Stegostoma tigrinum: one gene and its partners. The protein of the gene in region 1 interacts with the protein of each later gene in a biochemical or structural test. Links are inferred from orthologs where the notes say so. Each region holds a gene or a part of one and is shown in the gene's direction. Other genes may lie near its edges. The genes, in order: eps15, tfap2a and sgip1a.

The links.
Region 2: the proteins of eps15 (region 1) and tfap2a form a complex in vitro, tested with the Homo sapiens proteins (2 studies listed by BioGRID). The link is inferred for Stegostoma tigrinum from reciprocal best matches to the Homo sapiens genes EPS15 and TFAP2A.
Region 3: the proteins of eps15 (region 1) and sgip1a form a complex in vitro, tested with the Homo sapiens proteins (2 studies listed by BioGRID, with this or other methods). The link is inferred for Stegostoma tigrinum from reciprocal best matches to the Homo sapiens genes EPS15 and SGIP1.

Annotation. Positions count from the first base shown.
Region 1 is NC_081361.1:63,483,827-63,491,231, reverse strand, and holds the start of eps15 (epidermal growth factor receptor substrate 15), read left to right. Parts: upstream 1-4,364; 5' UTR 4,365-4,424; coding exon 4,425-4,451; intron 4,452-7,405. UniProt on the Homo sapiens protein: Involved in cell growth regulation. May be involved in the regulation of mitogenic signals and control of cell proliferation. Involved in the internalization of ligand-inducible receptors of the receptor tyrosine kinase (RTK) type, in particular EGFR.
Region 2 is NC_081358.1:44,307,844-44,315,885, forward strand, and holds the start of tfap2a (transcription factor AP-2-alpha), read left to right. Parts: upstream 1-5,023; 5' UTR 5,024-5,669; coding exon 5,670-5,831; intron 5,832-6,446; coding exon 6,447-6,521; intron 6,522-6,819; coding exon 6,820-7,251; intron 7,252-8,042.
Region 3 is NC_081361.1:50,747,756-50,755,217, forward strand, and holds the start of sgip1a (SH3-containing GRB2-like protein 3-interacting protein 1), read left to right. Parts: upstream 1-4,355; 5' UTR 4,356-4,370; coding exon 4,371-4,398; intron 4,399-7,462.

The DNA of each region.
Region 1 (7,405 bases):
AGGCCTCTGCAAAGTTTCAGGGATGTGGAGGAGAGGATTGGCAAAATGATTCTTGGCAGGAATGAAAGGAACAGGGTGGTCATTATGGAAGACTTTAACTTCCCTAACATTGACTGGAATTGCTATAGCTTTAGTACGTCAGATGGATCAGTTTTTGTCCAATATGTGCAGGATGGTTTCCTGACACAGTATGTCAAAGGGCTAACAAGAGGGGAGGCCACACTGGATCTGGTACTTGGTAATGAACCAGGCCAGGTGTTTGATTTAGTGGTAGGTGAGCACTTTGGAGAGAGTGACCATAATTTGGTCATGTTTAGTTTAGCGATGGAAAGGGGTAGGAACATGCCACAGGGCAAGAGTTATAGAAGGGGGAAGGGTAATTATAATGCGATTAGGCAAGACTCAGGAGGCATAGAATGGGGTAGCAAAATGTAGGGGATGGGGACAATCGAAATGTGGAGCTGGTTTAAGGAACAGATATTGCATGTCCTTGATAGGTATGTCCCTGTCAGGCAGGGAGGAAGCGATAAGGTAAGGAAACCGTGGTTTACTAAAGAAATTGTATCTCTTGTTAAGCGGAAGAGGGAGGCTTATGTGATGATGAGACAAGATAGCTCAGATGAGGCTATGGAGAATTACAGATTAGCTAGGAAGGGTTTAAAGAGAGAGTTAAGAAGAGCAAGGAGGGGATATGAGCAGACATTGGCAGGTAGAATAAAGGAGAACCCTAAAGCTTTCTATAGGTATGTGAGGAATAAGAGGATGACTAAAGTAGGAATAGGGCCAGTCAAAGACAGAAGTGGGAAGTTGTGTATGGACCCTGTGGAGATTGGAGATGTCATAAATGAATATTTCTCATCTGTTTTCACTCAGGAAAAGGAGAATATTGTAGAGGAGAAGACTGAGTTACAGGCTACTAGAATTGAAAGGATTAAGGTTAGTAAGGAGGAGGTGTTATCAATTCTAGAAAGTGTGAAGATAGATAAACGACCTGGGCCAGATGGGATTTTTCTGAGGATTCTCTGGGAAGCAAGGGTGGTGGAGCCTTTAGCCTTGATCTTTGAGTCCTCATTTAGTACCAGAGGACTGGAGGATTGCAAATGTTGTGCCCTTGTTCAAGAAGGGCAGTAGAGATGACCCAGGTAATTATAGACCTGTGAGCCTTACGTCTGTTGTAGGAAAAGTTTTGGAAAGGATTATAAGAGATAGGATTTACAATCATCTAGCAAGCAACAATTTGATTGGAGATAGTCAACATAGATTCGTAAAGGGCAGGTCGTGTCTCACAAACCTCACTGAATTTTTTGAGAAGGTGACCAAGCATGTGGATGAAGGTAGGGCAGTTGACGTGGTGTACATGGACTTCAGTAAAGCCTCTGATAAGGTTCCACATGGTAGGCTATTGGAGAAAATACGGAGGCATGGGATTGAAGGAGATTTAGCAGTTTGGATTAGAAACTGGTTTTCTGCAAGAAGGCAACAAGTGGTGGTTCATAGAAAATATTCAGCCTGGAATCCGGTTACTAGTGGTGTGCCTCAAGGATCTGTTTTGGGATCACTGCTATTTGTGATTTTTATAAATGACTTGGACACAGGCATAGGTGCTTGGGTTAGTAAGTTTGCAGATGACACTAAAATCGGTGGAGGGGTGGACAGCGTGGAAGAATATTGCAGGTTGCAGGGAGACTTGGATAAACTACAGAATTGGGCTGAAAGGTGGCAAATGGAGTTCAATGCAGATAAATGTGAGGTGATTAACTTTGGGAAGAATAATAGGAAGGCAGAATACTGGGTCAATGGAAAGATTCTTGGTTGTGTGGACGTGCAGAGGGATCTCGGTGTTCATGTACATAGATCGCTGAAAGTTGCCACTCAGGTTGATCGTGCTGTTAAGAAGGCTTACAGTGTGTTAGGTTTTATTGGTCGAGGGATTGAGTTCCAGAGTGGTGATGTCATGCTGCAACTGTACAAAACGCTAGTGCGGCCTCACTTGGAATGTTGCATGCAGTTCTGGTCGCCCCATTACAGGAAGGATGTGGAAGCATTGGAAAAGGCGCAGAGGAGATTTATCAGGATGTTGCCTGGTCTAGAGCAAAGGCCTTATGAAGAAAGGCTGAGGGACCTGGGTCTGTTCTCATTGGAGAGAAGAAGACTAAGAGGGGATTTAATAGAGACATACAAGATGATCAGAGGATTAGATAGGGTGGACAGTGAGTGTCTTTTTCGGAGGATGATGACGTCAGCTTGTATGAGGGGGCATAGCTACAAATTGAGGGGTGATAGATTTAAGACAGATGCCACAGGCAGGTTCTTTATTCAGAGAGTGGTAAGGGTGTGGAACGCCCTGCCTGCCAATGTAGTTAACAGCCACATGCGGGGCATTTAACAGTCCTTGGATAAGCAGATGAATAATGATGGGATAGTGTAGGGGGATGGGCTTAGATTAGTTCACAGGTCGGCACAACATTGAGGGCTGAAGGGCCTGTTCTGTGCTGTATTGGTCTATGTTCTATGACACTGGGGCAGATGAAAAGCCATGAGTAACTCTCCTGACAGCTATTGTACCTGCAGCTTTTTCAGTTATTAGGACCCTAACTTTCCCTGAGGCACCAGATAGTCAAATTTTTCAAGAGTTGATGGATTTAGTTAGGGAATATTTGACATCCCAAGCTACCTCTAATTCCAAGACATAATCGGGTTTTTTTGGCATTTCAAGAATTGGGCACTTCCACACTGGGATTTGTGACAAGGCAGAGGCATGTAACATTGGTCTAACCCTTAATGAGATACTAAGAGGCTGTTTGGTACGTGGGATTAATGATGTAACCATGCAAAAGCACCGATTAGCTGAACCCAAATGACTTCAAACAGGAACTACAGCTGGCTTTGTCATTAGAAAATGCAGCAAGTGGAGCTTCGAGTTTCAGGAAATGCAAATAGAAGTGGACATTATTCCCAGGCTGAATCATTTTGCAGGACACCACTTGAATGAAGGCAACTGTATAGCCTCACTCAGGACATATTCTGAACTGGGGGACTATAGGTCAGCCCACAGCAAACCACGACCAAACAGCTAACATTCTCTTCAAATTGAGGCCAGCAAGCCATTGTCGATGCTGCCAGTATGTAGATGTGAGATAGCAGAAGCGCATCACTTGTTCTGAACCAAGTAACAGAACTCATAGGCCAATATCCACAGAGTTGCTAATGGGAAGCAAACATCTGCAACAGGTTAAATCTGATCTTCCTGGAGCTGTGGGGGAAGCATAAAACGGCATCAAGAACAACAAGGCCAGACACAAGACTCTGTGAAGCAAGGGAGACAGTTTACTTCAGGGGATGAAGTTTGGTACTGAAACCACAGAAATGGCCCTGCATGGGTAAGACACATGGTCCACACGAAGTCAGGTCCTATGATATAGAAAGAGATAATGGGAACTGCAGATGCTGGAGAATTCCAAGGTGATAAAATGTGAGGCTGGATGAACACAGCAGGCCAAGCAGCATCTCAGGAGCACAAAAACTGACGTTTCGGGCCAAGACCCTTCATCAGAGAGCCTCTGATGAAGGGTCTAGGCCCGAAACGTCAGCTTTTGTGCTCCTGAGATGCTGCTTGGCCTGCTGTGTTCATCCAGCCTCACATTTTATTATCTATGATATAGAAAGTTTGGATAGGTGACGTGGTCCTGAACATATGGACCACATGAAAGATGCAAACTCACAAAAGAAGCAGGGGCGAAACATAGCTGGCCCCTCAGATAACCAGAAAGGCTGTTGAAGCCAGTGGGTTCTTCCTCCTCCATCCAGCATTGAAGAAACCTCAGTCGGAGATGGACAAAGTCGATGTTGCAGCGTCAACACCTTTACTGCTTAGAAAAAAAGGACAAATTTCTTTCAAGATGCTTCGGGCACAAGAGGCATGCTATGGTCTGGTACATGTTGCCCGTATCGGAGGTTGTGTTGGAGGAACCAGGCCCAGTGCAAAAATGCACGGAGAGGCTACAAGGCAAAAACAGGCCTATGTCCCAGAATTTACAGGGGAGCGATGTAGTGATAATAATGTCATCAGTTCTGTTCACTCTGAGACTGGCTCTGTGGATTGGACTAGTTGCAAATAATAGGCTTGTGTAAATAAAGGGTGACTAGGTGACGGCATGCCGGCCTCTGTGGAGCTATGTCAGAAAGATTCAGAGATAAATGATCACCAGGCCAGCAATTGGCCGCACTTGCTCTTTAGTCACTGGCATGGGTTTGAGATTGGTTTTGGCACGCGAAGAGATGTGAGTTTACAGACATTCACACAGAGAGATACACTTCGACAGAAAATTTATTCCACCTCGAAATCCAGTGCCAGGTTTTGTTTGTGATGTTAAAGTTCACGAACTTTTGTTCAGTGCATGATGGGCTAAAGTGTAGGAAACAGCATGGCGGGGCATTTTACACTCACTCAGGTAAAAACCAGATCTTATTATTTAAAACACCGAGGCTGTTCGTTTTAATTTATTTATGTTAGCGAGAGTGGAAACAAAGAGTGGGGGTGGGGTCTGGTTGGAGAAATACGGCTTTTGTGACTGAGAGGAAATGAATTGTTGTGCAGTTGGGGTGCCATTGCACTGGGGCCTGTGAGGCACCAAGAGCCGGGATAAAGGGAACAGTTTGTGGGCGTAGTTTGTGTGAAAGTGCGATTTTGTTTAGGATTTGGAGGATTTGCTGGGCCTCCTTTATTTTTGCGTAAACTCAAGCGGCCAGGAGACTATTGGATGCGGTAGATCGGGCGGTCACTTTATTACGGTTGGGAGGGTGGACCCATGTAGCATTTAAACTGCACCCGGAACATACACTGATGTAAGTTGTAAACAAATGTCTCAAAACTAAGGAAACGGCGTATGCTGGCATTTGAAGCTGATGTCGATTTACCAGTATGTTTCTTTTCTGTAGTATTTCTCATTACATAAGAACACAACGTAAGAACGAGGAGCAGGGGTAGGCCACCCAGCCCCTCGAGCGTCCGCTCGCCAATCAATCAGATCATGGCTGATCTTTTTGAGTCTCAAGTCCACGTACCCGCCCGTACACCATAACCCTTAATTCCTTTAGTGTTCAGAAATTTATCTAGCCTTGGCCTTAAACACGTTCAACGAGGCTGCTTCACTGGGCAGGGAATTCCACAGATTCGCAATCCTTTGGGTGAAGAAGTATCTCCTGACCTCAGTCCTACATCGGCTTCTCTTTATTTTGAGGCTATGCCCCTAGTCTGAGTTGCACCTGCTGAATGAAACAACCGCCCTGCCTCCTCCATATCTATTCTTTTCATAATCTTCTACTTTTCTATAATATCTCCCCTCATTCTTGTGAATTCCAATGAGTATAATCCCTGATCTTCCTGGAGCTATAGGGGGAGCATGAAACAGCATCAAGAACACCAAGGCCAGATACAAGACTCTGTTTTGTAGAGTTTCAGTTTCTCCTCATAATCCATCCCCTCAACTCTGGAATTCCACTTAACATTTCCTGTCCAGCCTTATTTCCACGCAAGTTGTGCATCATGCACCTTCGTACTTTTATCATTCTCAAACATATGTTATGGTGTGTAGATTACCTGAAAAATGTAACAACATAGAATGGGTACAGTACATGAGGAGGCCATTTGTTCTATCATGTATGTGTCAGCTGTCTGCCAGAGCAACACAGTTAGCCACATGTCTTGTTTGTTTCTCCCTATGGGCCTGCACGTTTTTGGTCTGTAGATAATTATTCAGTTTCATGTTGAAAGCCATGACTGAATATGCCTTCGTCACGTTCTGTGGGAGATACCAGACAATTATTCACCTGCAGCCCTTGGCTAAACTGTGGGCTATCTCCAAGGAACCCTGGCCCCCCCAAAGATGTGACATTCCGGCCTGTCAGTGTGTTGACATGCCCTGGTATCCATTAACCACTTGTAGGCCCTCTAAAACATGCTTTAAGGTGAGCAAATTGCCTAAAAAATGTTATAAAATAGAATCTTGCCTTAATGTTAATCAACTAAGTATAGGCTCTGCATCAGTAGTACCCACTGCATTGTGTCTCTGGTTCAGGAGAATCAAAAGCACTGGAGTGGAGTCCGATAGGTAGTTGTACATGTTCTTTTGAATTTAGTCTATACTGTTGGGAGACAATTGCAGATGTTGGGCAAGTACTTGTCTTTATATCCCACTCAGGCTCTGCAGCCAAATAAAAACAAATGAAGACTTCCTCTTCTCTCTTTAGTTGTGGCACTTGTAGCAAATCTTTGCCTTTCTAGAACTGGCATGTTCCACCATTGAAAGAAATGCTGCTGCTCGTCTCATTTGTCCTCACCAGAGTTATAGAACATAGAACATTACAGCACAGTACAGGCCCTTCGGCCCGTGATGTTGTGCCAGCCTGTCATACCGATCTCAAGCCCATCTAACCTACACTATTCCATGTACGTCCATATGCTTGTCCAATGACGACTTAAATGTACCTAAAGTTGGCAAATCTACTACCGTTGCAGGCAAAGTGTTCCATTCCCTTACTACTCTCTGAGTAAAGAAACCACCTCTGACATCTGTCCTATATCTTTCACCCCTCAATTTAAAGCTATGCCCCCTCGTGTGCACCATCACCATCCTAGGAAAAAGGCTCTCCCTATCCACCCTATCTAACCCTCTGATTATTTTATATGTTTCAATTAAGTCACCTCTCAACCTTCTTCTCTCTAATGAAAACAGCCTCAAGTCCCTCAGCCTTTCCTCGTAAGACCTTCCCTCCAGACCAGGCAACATCCTAGTAAATCTCCTCTGCACCCTTTCCAAAACTTCCACATCCTTCTTATAATGCGGTGACCAGAACTGTACACAATACTCCAAGTGCGGCCGCACCAGAGTTTTGTACAGTTGCAGCATAACCTCTTGGTTCTGGAACTCAATCACTCTATTAATAAAAGCTAAAACACTGTATGCCTTCTTAACAGCCCTGCCAACCTGGGTGGCAAAAGGATCTGTGTACATGGACACCGAGATCTCTCTGCTCGTCTACACTACTAAGAATCTTACCATTAGCCCTGTACTTTGCCTTCCGGTTACTCCTACCAAAGTGCATCACCTCACACTTGTCTGCATTAAACTCCATTTGCCACCTCTCAGCCCAGCTCTGCAGCTTATCTATGTCTCTTGCAACCTACAGCATCCTTCATCACTATCCACAACTCCACCGACCTTAGTGTCATATGCAAATTTACTAACCCATCCTTCTATGCCCTCATCCAGGTCATTTATAAAAATGACAAACAGCAGTGGACCCAACACCGACCCTTGCGGTACACCACTAGTAACTGGTCTCCAGGATGAACATTTCCCATCAACTACCACCCTCTGTCTTCTTTCAGCAAGCCAATTTCCAA
Region 2 (8,042 bases), on another chromosome or scaffold:
TCCTCCTTCCACAACATCCCTAGTCATTGCAGATGACTCTGTCTATTGTAGGCGCCTGAAGACCAGGAAGCTCCCCCAAATTCACCGAGGTGTGACTCCTTTTTGTCATGACCAGCCTTTGTTCGTGTTGTTGGTTGTCATGATGAGGTCTGGTAGCCGATGGAGCTTCGTGGTACATGGCTGCTGTAAATCCATCAGTGCTGAGATAGGCGTTTTTTTTGAAGCTGCAAGGTACTGACATTCCTGAGGAGTACGCAGGCGCGGACAGGTGGCACCCAGCACTTTATGACCAGGTGAGATGATCCTGGAGAGGTAAAAGGAGAAATTACTCAACAGCTCACAGATCTTTTGAGGACACCACGGACAACTCCAGGCGATATGTCAATTCTGGGCAAAATGGGGGACTGGCAGGTACGTGAACTTATCTATTAACGGCACTCCTTTGGCATGATTACAGAAGTCCCAGTAGCCATTGAAAGTTGCTGCCTATTCCAGCGGTGCCTATATTTCATTATGTAGACGAACGTCATGGATAAAGTCAGTGAATTGGGACAAATAATTACAATTTGCAAATAAGTCAATGAGTCCAAACTTTCTATCAGTACTTACATTGTGTTTACCTGCATGACGCAACTAATACAAACTCTATAAAGTCTCAGGTTGAAAAAAGTTTAGATATCCAATTTACACTACTACAGGCGAAACCCTTGGTTTAGTTGATTTGTTTGAATGGGCCCTGAAAAGGTTAACTCGATAAATACGCCTCAAACCTTTCTGCCTTTTCCCTTTTGCGATGTGATTTGATTTTCTTGTCAGTTCACTATCGGCGCTGTGCTCCAGATACATAGAAAGCAGCCCACTGTAATCATCACCATGTTACAACTTTTCCTAACTTGGGGTCAATCACAATGAGATTACAAACAAGAAAGATTAGCCTCCAGTTTAACGAGCGATTATGTGACTGTTGTATTAGTCTAACATGTTCGTAGAACAACGCTAATCTTGGGGAAATAACTCGTTTTCTCAGGACAGATTAAATTTCATTTCTTCTTTCATATTTTATTTTTAAACACTTTTTTTCATATTGAAGAGTGGCAGTTTGTCTATCAACTCCCTTTTCATAAACACACAACTTGTTTCAGGTTCATTGGAAATTCTACTAAATAGACAATAACTTTTACAACTGGATTTCGGCAGCAATGGATTTAACTTTATTTGGTGTATTATTAAACATTTGAAGTTTAGAACCAATAGAGTATCAATACAAATATATTTCTGTGAAGCCTATGTGCTATTTGCTCGGTACAAAACTTGTAACCTAATTCCATTGTTCCATGGTTCCTAGATTTTCTCAAAGATTGAAGGTAGTCTGTAACAATGTGAGATAACAAGGTGTAGAGCTGGATGTTGCTTGTGGGCTCCAAATCAAGAGTCATGTTATCTATATAATTTTCCAAACATTTCAGTGTATTTTATAAACTGGAATTATGTACGACACAAATCTAACTTTGCTGCAATAATAATATTTAAAAAGTTAGAACACTTTTGGCGGACCTAAAGCTTTGAAATAAGGGGATATTCTGTCTCAGCTGACACAAAAAGACGTGCATTGAAAAATGAACTTGTTAGATGCTGAATATAAATACAGGTATTTATCATGGTAGGATTTATTGAAATCCATTGTTCAATACAAGAAACATAACGACAGTAACATTCAAACAGAAGTATTTGCTGTACTTTAAAGCCATTCTCTAACTTGTTTATGCTTTCACCCGCGAAACGAAAAAAAGTCAAAATATCTGAAGCACGCGTATAGGCCAGGCGCTAAAATGCTGTAGGATAGCTAGGTCCTAAAAGTCCTCTTCACCTGTGCACCAAGTTAAAATATTTAAATGCACAAATATCACGTACTTACACGTTGATTTAATAATCAATGCAGACTGTAACAGGTGTTTTTCTTTTTGCCCTATTTTGGAAAAAAAGTCAGAATGGGCGAATATTTTGAAAAAGATCAATAAGGAGAAGATAGTATTGTGAGTAATGGCGTTTCACCATCGTTCGCACACTTTAACGGAGAGGACTACATTTATTCTAGTCCACGGTAACAAGACCTTGTAACCAAATAAACAGATGTGAATATTTTCCTCGCCACAAAAGAAATCGCTGGCATTTTAAAACGAGGCGAACCTTGTTATGGTTACATGTGTATAGAATTACATTTAATTAAAAGAAGTGCAAATTGGGAGGGGAGGAGTTGGAATACATTTCACCGGTTTAGGCTGCTCAGAAACTGCTCGACAAAAGCAGAAATAAAAACAGCAAAGCACCGCTCTCCTGTTAAAAAGTGCTTCCATTCGACAGGAGCATATATTTTAATTATTCATTGTATTTTGCTATAGCGATCGATTAGAAGTTAATTTAATGTATGATTCTCAGATAAACTCATTTACTATATTCTTATACTCCACTAGTCTGCCAGCACAGAAGTGAACATTAAATGATTTCTAAATTAACTAGCATCGGTTTATATGAGATTAACAAATTTTCATTTGAAAATGGAGATGTGGAAAATATCTATTCTTTAAAAGAATCGACATTTGTACACAGGTAAAATAGAAAAGCTGCAGGTTCAGTGCTTTAAATCAATGATCTTGCAAACTCGTTATCTCTTTTAATGCACAGCGTTATATTAAGAGGTAACACCCCCTTCAACAGTTCGAATGAAAGTGGGAGATCACAGCTCATGCAAGCAGCTTGTAATGAATAAGTGCTTCACAGTAGAAAGTGAGCAAATTGGGGGGAAGAACATCACTTTTAAATGTAAAAATACTGCCGTACTCTTTGCAAGTGACTTAAGAGAACAGAACGCCATCAAGAAAAAAACATAAATTAGATCCGCGAGCTTTTAGAATAATTGCATAAACACGTTTAAAAATCCAGGTACAGCTGAATATTTTCGCCTCTTAGACCCAAAGCTGACTGTGACTCCAGCGATAGAAATAATTTTGTATTTAAATTTCAAAACGTTTGGCCTTTTGGAGTGAGGTGTTCTGAATCGGTGGATATCTCGGTCCTCTAATTAAAGACAATAGATTCTGATGACATCTTTGTCCTCGAGCTCCACCAAAAATGGTAATGAAGATTACCTGTAGACGACGCCTAGATCTAGTCACCCAGATTACCTGGGTTGAGAGTTACCCTTGCACACTTTCTCACCTTCAATGAAAGACAACGGTGCAACCTTGTCTCGATTCATAAATTCATAGTCAGACATTTATTATGGTAATAACTTTAATGAAGCGGTTGTGAAGAGGTTTGCAATGCGACGTTAGTTCAAAATAGTTTGCTTTTTTAGTCCCTGTTTACGTATGAATTGAATAGCTACATAACAAACGATTTCCACCTCAATGGCTGCAGTGCAACACTCTACACGCTTGTTATTTAAAGCCTCCAGATAGCAAAGAAAGGTAAATGCCGAAAGAAATTCTCGCTCACAAACCTAGAATCTCTCAGCTAGGAAACGAGACACAACCGCTGAAAGAATCTAAATACTGGTAGTAAAGCCACCTAATTATCAATGAAATTCAGCACTACTGAGGTTTACCGCTCTGATAAGCGTAAACGTGTCCGGGAAATAACTTGCTGAGGGAATGTTAAAATTGTCTTTACTTTGAATTTTCCTGAGGAGATGCTTTTTAAAAAAAATCAGCAAAAAGCAAGGAAGTCGGAATCAGTTCGGATTCGATTTAACTACATCCATTGTGAAGCTAATATTTAAGCTAAACTGTTTACTTAGTAAAAGGGCATGTAGATGAAGTTGGGTGCTTGATACGCAGAGGAATATGAAGTTAACTGTTGTATCAAAATATGGGTCATATCTATATATTTATTATTGCTATTTAACATAGTGAAAATGTGAAGCACACTTGCCCTGTTATTATAAAATAAACGACTGAGTTCGGTGTTTCAGCAAGATTATTGCCTTCATTGGAAGGCATAATCAGTTAACAACTAAACAGTGCATGTCTGCAGGGAGAAGAGTTAACCAAAGAAAGAAAGTCACATCGTACTCTTGTGCTTTGGTAGAATGGAAGGTAAGGGAGGGTTTAACAAGTAACAGAACAAGTAGCTCCATGTACATTTATAAGCTGTTGTCCACCGCCAATGTATTTATGTTGACGTCCATTGCCAGGCGGCAGGGCAGGCTCTCTACCTGTATCCATTGGAGCAGTAATGTGGTTGAATGAGTGTTTGGCTGGTGTTCATATGCTAATTGGGCTGTTATTAGCGAGTTACTAAAGAGCTGAGAGGGGAACACGATCGACCATTAGAGGGAGATCTCAGAGCACATACAGAGCGCTAAACCAACACACACTCTCTGTACAGGACTGTCCGCTCTCTGAGACATCCAGTCAACCACTTTTACACCAATCCATGAGAATGCTGTGGAAATTAGCGGACAATATCAAATATGAGGAGTGCGAGGTAAGCAATTTCATATTAGATTCAAAAGAATTAAAATGCAGTTTTCACTGCCCCGTCGAATGAAAAAAAGCTGTACATCACTCTCATTTAAACCGAATATTGCAAAGTTTTATTTTAAACATTAAGTATGCTTTCACAGTTATATATTCTATAGAAAGATGCAGCATGACAAAAACAAATGGAGCACTTGGCCATTCGGCTTAATAATATTGTAAAATAATGCAAACGCCGATTGCAGGGTGCGTACCTCAGCTCTATTGTGTGGCAATAGCTCACGTTTGTAAACAATACAGGAATCGAGAGTTAAGAATCGACGTCCACTAGATTAAGCATCTGAAATGATTAATGTTTGGTAAACCTGGCTGAAATCCTTCGCCTATAAATTCTTAACAGAACCCTCAAAAAGGGCCGCGTTGCTGGCGATGTTTGTGAAAGTAAAACCAAAATTAAAACGCTAAGCTTGCTGCACTTATTGTCACAGAACGCCTTGGGAAAGAGCAAGTTTGATCAAGCAAGGAAAAGCAGTTTGCTTTTGTAGTCAATTCTAATGCCTTAGTCCAAATTGTATATCTGTCTGCATTTGTTGCTTAAACGTTCGTAATCCCCACCCCCAACCACCCACCCTACCCCCCACAAAAAAACGCACATGGAAACATTGAAATCTGCACAAAATTGTGTCTTGGTAAAGATGAAAGATTTTTGTGTGGAAATGGCAGAAGGCGTTAGATGGTTCAGGCTAAAAGCCGTGATTGTGCCCGGATTGAGAAAGTTGCTCTAGAGTTTGCGAGGTAATATTTGGGGAGTTGTTTTGAAGTTGTATAGCCAGTCAAACGGGTTTGTACAGCAGGCTAGAAGGCAGTTCACACCACGGGCTAAACCAAGCGGCCGTTTAGTTTCACTTTATTTTTTTCAAAAACGCGGGGAGGAAATTAATAAAAAAAATATAAGAATCCAAGAAAAGTATGAAGGGTCGGCGCGAGCTTCCAGCGGAGTAGGTTTACGATCAGAAGTGAAATCCGTTTGTTTGGAGCCGCTTTCGAGTTGAGTTTAGACGAGAGTTGTTTTTTTAGGATCGCAGTAGGGGAGCAGCTTGCGTAAAAGTGCGTGAAAACGAATCAGGGCTTTGGAGACTCCATAGTGTCTCTGTCGCTCCCTCTGTCTCTTAACTTTTAACCCATTGCACGATGGATCAGACTACTAGTGACCCAGGATCAGGGCAGCAGTCACCTCCGGATAAAGAGCTGAAAAGGAAGAGAGCTGAGAGCGCAGGTAGTCGCTCTCCAGCCAGGAAGCGAGTGGCCGCCGACATGCCTTTGGCGTTTGCTGGATTCTCACACGATAACGAGGTGCAAATTCCTTCCCGCATCACACTCTTTCTTTCCTTCCCCTCTTTCTCTCTGTCTCTCTCTCTCCCCCCTCTGACTCTCACCATTCCTGCTCCCCTTCTCTCTCCCTCTCACTTTCGCATGCCCTCGATCACTTGAAAATGTTCTCTTCTTCCCTGTGATTCGTCAGAAACAGCAATGTGTGCCCCTCTATTCTCTCTCTCTCTCTCTCTGATTAGATACACTGATTCAACGGACGTCATTTATAACAGACACAGCTTTAAGTTGCTTCCTCGCTTCACGCTCGATTTCCGACCATTCTCCCCTTATTAAGTATTCGTGTAATATTAATAGTCATGAATATCTGCTATTATGTGCTGAGTGAAGCCACGGCTCGCCCTTAGAGGAGGAGAAAGAGAGAGAGAAAAAAAAGTTTGAAAAATCTACCGACGTGACGCCCTGAAACTAGACACAATTCTGATCATTTTTTTTTGTTTGTGTGTGTTGTTCCCAATGAAGAAATTTTTCAAGTTCTGATGGATTCGCTTGCCTTCCTCCTGCATGTGACTCCCCGGCGTTGTGATCGTGTTGTAGCTGTATAGTACTGGACTGTTTTTTCCAATTTTCCACCTCTAGGTCTCTCTATTTTTTCCCCCTGACGAACTCAGATCAGACTGCCCGCAGATGTTAGTGCACAGTTTCTCGGCCATGGTGAGTTTCAGTGAGATGCCACTAGGTTTAAAACGAGCCTCCCCCGCCCCCTCCCAAAAACAAAAACTGGTAGCACTTTGGATTGTGAAAATAAAAAAAATCTAGCATACCTCCTTGGAGGATAATATTTTGTTGAATTCTACCCCGTGCGATAATTTACAATTACTAATATGGCCAGTAAAACTTAAGCTTGCCACCGCCAACGAAAGTGTCATACCAGCGATGTTTCTTTAACAAAAAAGAATAAAATAATGTATTTTTTAAAAATTACAACTTTACATGTCTGATTTCATTGCAGGACCGGCATGACGGCACAAGCAATGGGACTCCACGGTTGCCTCAGTTAGGGACGGTCAGCCAGTCTCCGTACCCGACCGCCCCGCCGCTCTCTCACACTCCCAACACGGACTTCCAGCCGCCCTACTTCCCTCCTCCGTACCAGCCCATCTACCCGCAGTCGCAGGACCCCTATTCCCATGTGAACGACCCTTACTCGCTGAACTCGCTGCACCCGCAGCCCCAGCCGCAGCACCCGACCTGGCCTCAGCGGCAGAACCAGGAAGCGGGAATCCTCCACCAGCCCCGCGGGCTGCCCCAACTCGCCGGCCTGGACCCGCGGAGGGAGTACCGACGGCCCGAGGTCCTCCTCCACAGCACCCACGGACTCGACTCCGGCCTCGGGGATACATTGCCTATCCACAGCATCGCACATGCCATCGAGGATGTACAGGTCGGTTCTTTGAAAACCCTATGCAGTTCTTACTTTACACTGCTGCCTTGGTCTATAGTGAACTGTTTTCAAATTAAGGGGAGATTCTCAACCCATTTACCCACCCACCCCTTCACGACCACCTCTGGTAAAATCTGCTTTCGTGAACCCTGCATCTGCTTCAGATTTTGAAAATAAAATTGACAAGTTTAAATTGACAATCAAGCGAAACAAATCTATTTTTTCCAAATGACCAATACATATTAATGTTATGTATTAACATGCATCAAATGAGAGCAAATTTCTCCTCTGCATTGTTAGAAATATAAATTGCGTCTTCCCTTAATTAAATCCAGCACTTGCTTTTTAACGCTATCAGTTTCTCTCATTCATGTAAACAGTTTGGAGTAATGAAATTGTGTGGTGCGCTTTATTCAATATTTCAACTTGATAAAACAGACTTATTCCAATTTGGACTTTGCCCAGAGCTTCAAAATTGGAATCATTAATTTTAAACATATATATAAAATTCTGCATGTGCCTTAATTCCTGCCCCCAGCCCCCGCCCCCAATCCCAACGAGAAAATAAAAAAATCGTTTATTAGCTGTGGCGAGTTGCTGAAAGCTGGTTACAATGCCAGTGGTCATTGTTGAGTTACTGACCCGAGATTGCAAAATACAAAAGGCATGCGTTTAGTTTGTACTAAATTGTTCGTTTTTCAGCGCCGTGGCGAGCTGTGCTTTTAAATTATAATTTGAACTCGTTCCTTCTGCAACAACCTGGAATAATCATTAATGTGTTATTACTTACC
Region 3 (7,462 bases), about 13 Mb from region 1:
CAAGCCTCGCTATCTGTTCTGTTTTTGATATTACCCCGATAGGCTCATTTGAAACAGGGCCAATGGGCCAGCCACAACAGAGGGTATTGTCACCGTGGCATTAGTACAATGAAGGAGCAGAGAAACTGAGGAAGGAGCAAATACATCAGCAAGGCCAGGACCAGCAGCTGCCAAACAGCCTCCACCTGAAGAAGTTGCAGCTAAATGTCCCCTCAGGATGTGAAGGTGACCCAGAGTTTGGCATCCTCGAGATGACTGAGGAGCAGCGCTGCCACAGACTGAGGATGCTCTGGGACATCACTGCAGAACCTTCTCATCTGCTATGGCAGGACCTGCAACCTGAAGTGATACATGGTTATCCTATCCCACAGGCAATCCAGGTGACAGCTGCATTAAAGTTTGATGTAACTGGCTGTTTCCAAGACTTTACTGACGATCTTACTGTGAACTCTCAATCCTTGGCTCATGAATGTATCAAAGCCATTATTCATATAATTTGTGTCAGACCATACCATTTCATCTGGTTTCCCCATCATGTGGTCAGTGCTACAGGCTGGTTGGTCGGCTTTGCCCACATTGCCAACTTCCCACAGATGTAACGTGCTAAAGACTGGATATACATTGTATTGAAAGTGCTACATCATAAGTTGGCAGACTTGATCAACAGAAAGGTTTCCATTCCATCAATACACAAGCATCTGTAAGCATTAGTATCACATTTCAGAAGTCTGAACCAGGCTCCCTGGAAACAGCCATGATTCCCACATCCTTGAGAACTCTTCTGTTGCTGCATTACTACAAAGGCTGCATAACTAATAAGGATAACCATGGCTGACAGTTCCATTAAGTAACGCCCCAACTAGGCTGAGTGTAGATACAAAACAGCCCAACCCTCCACTGGAGCCATCATAAAGCAATTTCTAGGCCTCCTGTAGATGAAGTTCCAATGCTTTTGGACAGGCTTTTCAGCCTGGACAGTATGCTGCAAAATTCTAGCACAACTGGAGCAGGTAAAGAGGCGAGCTAATGGATGCTGAAGAGCTGGAAGGGCACTGCCTATTTTCCAAGGAGGAAGATGAGGACATTGAGTGGGTGGAACATCACCTCCACAATAGAGGGGTATTAAGTCAAGACTGCCAATCCAGATAGGATTTAATTGAAAGATTAATAGAAACTCAGCAGGTCGGGCAGCCTCTGTGGAAAGAGAAACAGAGTTAGTGCTCCAGGTCCAGCAACCTTCTCTAGCAATTTCTTTGTATTAATTTAGGATTAAATTAATATCAGGTTCCAATAAATGTGAGCTGGGTGAGGTCAACGTTCAGTAATTGGCTGAAAATCTGTTATTCAAAAGGCAAGCAGCCTCAGTTTATTCCCAGAAGTAAATGTTTCTCTCTTCATTTGTCTCTTCCATGCTTTTCCAGTTGTTCAATGAAAGTTAACATTTTCCTCTGTTTGGAAGCATTCCAGCATGTGATGCTTCCACACTGAACAATGACATGTTACGCTGACTGTTGGGGAAAGTGCAGGGCTCCCTTAGACAGGGGTCTAAACTGGTATGGTGCTCAGGATGGGTAGCCTCTGGAGTTGATATTCTTGTAACTGCAGATACAATACCAGTCAGACAGGTGATGTTGTAAGATAGCAATATAATTACTGATGTGAGAAGCTGTTTGCAATGCAGCGTCCCAGGGGCCACTTAAATGCCCTCAGATGCTTTTGTGTTTTCTTCTTCTCCCATTGTGTGATATGTGAAGTTTCTGGCTGGTAGTAATTGTCCTGGTACACAGCTGGACTTTAAACATGTTCCCAGGAAGCGCAAACCCCAGCAGTATCAAGTTCTTCTGTCACTGGTGAACGGAAGACAGGGCAAGAGTGGAGCCACCAAATTATGGTGCACGCGATGAGGTGAGCGGTGTAAGGTAACTCAATAGAAAGCTTCAGTGACATGCCCCAAAGTTCACGCTTAGTTGATTTTTGGTAAAATTTAGCCCACATTCACCACCCACTGCGCTCAATCAGCTACATAGCACCAAACCAATCCACATTCATAAGTGTTGGTGATAGGTAGCAACAATATTTATTTTGTCACTGGTGTGTTTGCAAACATAGTCCCTGAACTAACGCCAAAACACAGATTATAGCCTTGTCATAAATAGATTATTGTTAGTGTATTCTTGCTGCTAACAAATTGGCTGCCATGCTTCTTGCATTTCAGCAGGGAATGTTATATAAAAAGTCCTTCTTTGGCAGTAAAATGCTTTGGGGAATTATGTGATAGTGAATGGTGTATTACACAGCTAAGTCTTTCTCCCCTTCCAAGACATATCTCCCCCCTTTTTACCTGACACAGTAATTCCTGCTGCCTTTGAACACAGTGGTTTCTCTTGTTTATTTCATACAAAAGTGTTTCAGACATCTGATTGCAGGTAGCAGTCAAATGATTTACAATTCTGCAGGATAATGTGTTGCATTTGACCTAAAAGTGCTTAATATTGGCATTGGGTGTGGGAACTGTTATCCTAGTATACAACACTGGCATCTTCTCCCTTGATCAGTACAAATAACTGAAACTTTTAATTTATTAAAAATGTACTGCAGAACGGGGATTTTAAAATGCACATGACCCTTAGTTGATCAATTTGCACTAATCTCAGGTTTTAGCATTGGATGAGACAATGAATGCAAACCAATGTTCCAGCATGCAGTCCATTTAGGTTAATGGACTTTCACCTCCTTCTTGAGTGGATGCCTTCCCTCCAGCTGAAGGTGCCAGAAAGAGCATGTTAAAAAGTCACTGCAATCTGGAGAGGGAGGGCTCCTTTCCAGACATCCCAAATGAAACAACTGGGCCTCTGATTTCCTGAGGCTGTACAATGCCCTGATTCTCACTCTTGCATTTGCTTGCTGAATGTTCTTGGCTGGTTACATTTAGGCTCCTGTGGAATCTTCTCAGGCCCCATTCACCCAGCACCGGTAGATTAGCATTGGCTGTCCTTTGAAATGGCCTGCATCCTTTCCCTCTTGCAAGAAATATCATGCCTGATCCTGGAGAAGTCTCTTAATTTGAACAATTCTCGCATTAAAATAATATTTCTATCTTACAACATAGCACCTTGGAATTGTTATAACAATTTACTTGCCGCTAATAGAACATAGAACATAGAACAGTACAGCACAGAACAGGCCCTTCAGCCCACAATGTTGTGCCGACCATTGATCCTCATGTATGCACCCTCAAATTTCTGTGACCATATGCTTGTCCAGCACTCTCTTAAATGACCCCAATGACCTTGCTTCCACAACTGCTGCTGGCAACGCATTCCATGCTCTCTCAACTCTCTGTGTAAAGAACCCGCCTCTGACATCCCCTCTATACTTTCCTCCAACCAGCTTAAAACTATGACCCCTTGTGTTAGCCATTTCTGCCCTGGGAAATAGTCTCTGGCTATCAACTCTATCTATGCCTCTCATTATCTTGTATACCTCAATTAGGTCCCCTCTCCTCCTCCTTTTCTCCAATGAAAAGAGACCGAGCTTGTTCGAAAATTACTTCAAATCAAGTCCATGTAAAGTTTCAGTCATAAGTTTCTGATTAGTTTGAGAAAGCCAGGTTAAAAGGCCAAGGCCAAGGTTTCAGCATACGACATTGAAAAGAATCAAAGAAAATAAATAAATTGCAAAATAGGAGCCGTTGATCTCAACTATAAGATGATGGATAAACTCACAAAACGTGAGGTGCCTTAACATTAGGTCCCCTCCAGATACCTTTACTCATGCCCTTCGCATGAATGAGTTAATGGCACGCACCAAAAGACCAATAAACCTGACCGACTGCCATGCATACAACAGGTTTCACTATGTGGTGTGTAGTAGGCTTGCAGAATGCCCAGAACGTCTGCCTGACTGGCACCTGAAGGAGGACGCCCACATAAAGACAGTCAGGTTTATTTGCATGACCTGAGTATTATCATGTTATTTGGCAAGTGGAGAAATTCAGAAGCCCATCTGCGGGAGAGAGCTGGTACGAATGCATTCAGTGGGTTGTCCAGGGCAACAAGCAGAAGAACAGCAGATGTCAAAATTCACCTTTGAAAAGATTGTTGACAGTGGGTGCAATTGCACAGACAGCTATTATACCCATCCAACAAACACAAAATTCCCTGTAAAATTATTTTAGAACTTTTTTTATCAATGTTGCTCGTGAGCCCCTAAGATTATTTGTTCTGCTCTGTGCAGCAGCAGTCCCTGTTCTCACTAAATGTCACGTTTTCCTACACCAGGAGGCAGTCGTCATAATATATTTCAAAAGACCCAAATTGCTAGAGATATTGATACTCGTGCCAGCTGCTGATGAGAGTGCCAGCTGCACCATGGAGACTTGCTTGAAAACATCACAGGGTAGGAAACAATAAAACTTTAATACGTTTTTAACTCACTGGAGAAACTGGATAACAGAGAACAGTCAAATCTGTCCCGAGAAACTCTGCACTTTACTGATTGATGGGCAAATGACATTTGTTAAAACTGAGAGGCTTGATAGGCTGGGGCATTTTACCCTGGAGTGTAGGTGACTGAGGGGTGACCTTATAGAGGTTTATAAAATCACGAGGGCATAGATAAGGTGAATAGCAAAGGTCTTTTCCTCAGGGTGGGAGAGTTCTAAAGTAGAGGGCATATTTTTAAGGTGAGAGGATAAAGATTTAAAGGGGACCTGAGGGGCAACATTTTCACACAGAGGGAGGTTTGTACGTGAAACGAACTGCCGGAGGAAGTGGTAAGTGCAGGTAGAGTTACAACATTTAAAAGACATTGGGATAGGTAAATGAATAGGCAAGGTTTAGAGGGATTGAGGCAAAACACAGGCAAGTGGGACTAGTTTAGTTTGGGTAACTTGGTCAGCAGGGATGAGTTGGATCGAAGGGCCTGTTTCCATACTGAATAATTTTATGACTCTATGATTCAAAGTACAAGTGTGAACTAGAACGATTGCATTAAAATCAATGTACAATCTTTTACAGAACTGTATTAATGAAGTGTTTTGAAATATTTCATTGCAAAATTTTAAACAGCTTGCATCCATATTGAAATGCTTCTGAAGTCTGTCCTAGGTTCATTGACATTTTTTTATTCAAAAAAAATACTATATTCGTAGCATATACAAAAAATAAACATATTTACATACCTACTCGGTCATGCTAGCCACTCCGGGTTACCCTAGGGGTATGTACACCAACTAAAAGAAAAAAACAAAAACAAAGAAAAAACCCCGGCGGTTGTCTACCCGCACAGTCCCTGTTGGCCCCCTGACCAGTTGGGGAAGGTGCCAGCTGAGCCCAGTTACCAAATAGGGCCCATGTTACATTCCGGCTGAGGGGTCTCATACAGTGGTCTTTCACCACCGCGCCTTGGCAGCGTCTGCCCCAAGACTTAGCGTGTACGTCCTAGGTTCATTGACACTGATTTAATAGTAGAGCAAAGATGCAAATTAAAGGTGTGAATTTTAACAGTTGTGATATTTCCTGGTTTCAAAACCCATTAAGGAGGAAGTGTCCCAGAAGTTGGAATTTTCTTTCTGGAGTGGCTGGGCACTCTGGGAGTTAGGATGGGCAGGTACCAGGTGCCAAGGCAGGCTGGATGGAAGACCTGTGTTGATGCTCTACCATCGTGGAGGAATTTAAGAACAATAGTAAAGCACAGAACTGTCCTCTAGTCTTCACCTCCCCCTACTCCCATCTCTCAGAACACTCTGCATACCCTATACTTGCGATCTCATGTTCCCAAATTCCCAATACTTAAAGGACAGAAGTTTTAAATACCTTGATAGCTTTACAGTTCTTTTTGATGCTATTGAAGATTCCAATGACCTTTAAAGTTAATGGATTTATGAATTTTAAAGTTTTTGAGAAGATTTCTAATACGGGTTGTGGATGAGGTTGTAGAATTGCTCGCTAAGACAATGTCTTTGGTTGCAGATATTTTGTTGTCCTGCTAGGTAACATCATCAGTGCACCTCCAGTGAAGCATTGGTGTCCAATCCCACTTGCTATTTATACACCTTCGTTTGCTGGGGAGGAGGTTGGCAATACTTCCGGTTTTGTTTTTCAGTGGTTTTTATATCGAGTCCAATTCAATGTATTTATTGATGGAGTTCCAGTCGGAATACCAGTCCTCCAGGAATTCTCTGGCATGTCTCTGTTTGATTGTGCTATGGACGTGTGTCCCAGTCAAATTTGTGTCTTTCTTTGTCCATGTGTATTGAGATCAGTGAGAATCGGCCGTGTCTCTTGGTGGCTAGTTGGTGTCCACGTATCCTTATTGTCAATTTTCTTCCAGCTTGGCCTATGTAATGTTTCTCACAGTCCTTGCATGATATTTTGTATATTATGTTATTTTTATCGTCTATGGTTATGGGATCCGTTACATTCAACCTAAAAGATCGATCTAGCCAAAAGGACAATTCCCACACTGGTAGCTGAATCAGAAAGGCACTCCATGACACCAACAGCATCAACAAGGACAGCATCTTAAAACTGCTGGATCTGTGCCTCTTCGCCTTCCATGACTGTATATTCAAGCAAGTCAACGGGGTCCCCCATAACAGGACTAATTGCAGAAGCGGTTAGAAAGAACAGCGCTCCGCATTATACAAAACAAACTCTGGGTCCGCTGTGTCAATGACACCTTCGTGATTATCGAATGCGCAAGACTAGAAGAAAACTACCAAAGCTTTAAACAACGTCCTCCTGGAATAAAATTCACAAAAGAAGAAGAGAACAATAACTGACTATCCTTCCTAGACATTATGGTGGAATGTAAGAACAACGTGGAACTCCAGACTAGCGTATATAGAAAGACTACACATGTAGACAAAATACTTAATTACTCCAACAACCACCTGAATGCCCATAAATGGAGCTGCACCTTGACATTATTCAAATGGGCCACAAAACATTGCAGCAATCCAGGGGCACTTGTACAATGTTTTGAAAAGGAATGGATGCCCAAAAAACAGTCTGTCATTACCTCCGTGGCAGACCGCAACAAGAAGACATGACACAGCCAGACACACCGGTCACTCTACCATACATCAGAGACATATCAGAGATGACCACAAGTCTACTCAGACCCCTAGGTATCAGGGTAGCCCACAACCCAACAACTGCGCTGCAACAGCTACGGATGAGCATAAAGGATCCCATACCAACAACCAGTAAAATTAATGTAGTAAAGGAAATACCACACAAGGACTGTGAGAAATATCACATCGTCCAAACTAGAAGAAAACTGACAATAAGGATACATGGACAGTAATTGTTTGTTATAACTGGATAGGTTTTATTTACCATGTTAAAGGAAACTGTGCAATTCATGGTAGAGAAAAAAAGAGATAGGACAAGAAAAGTGAGAGGAGGTGAGAAACATGGGCCAATCAGGGGTTGCAGAAGAGCCTGTAACTTGAAAC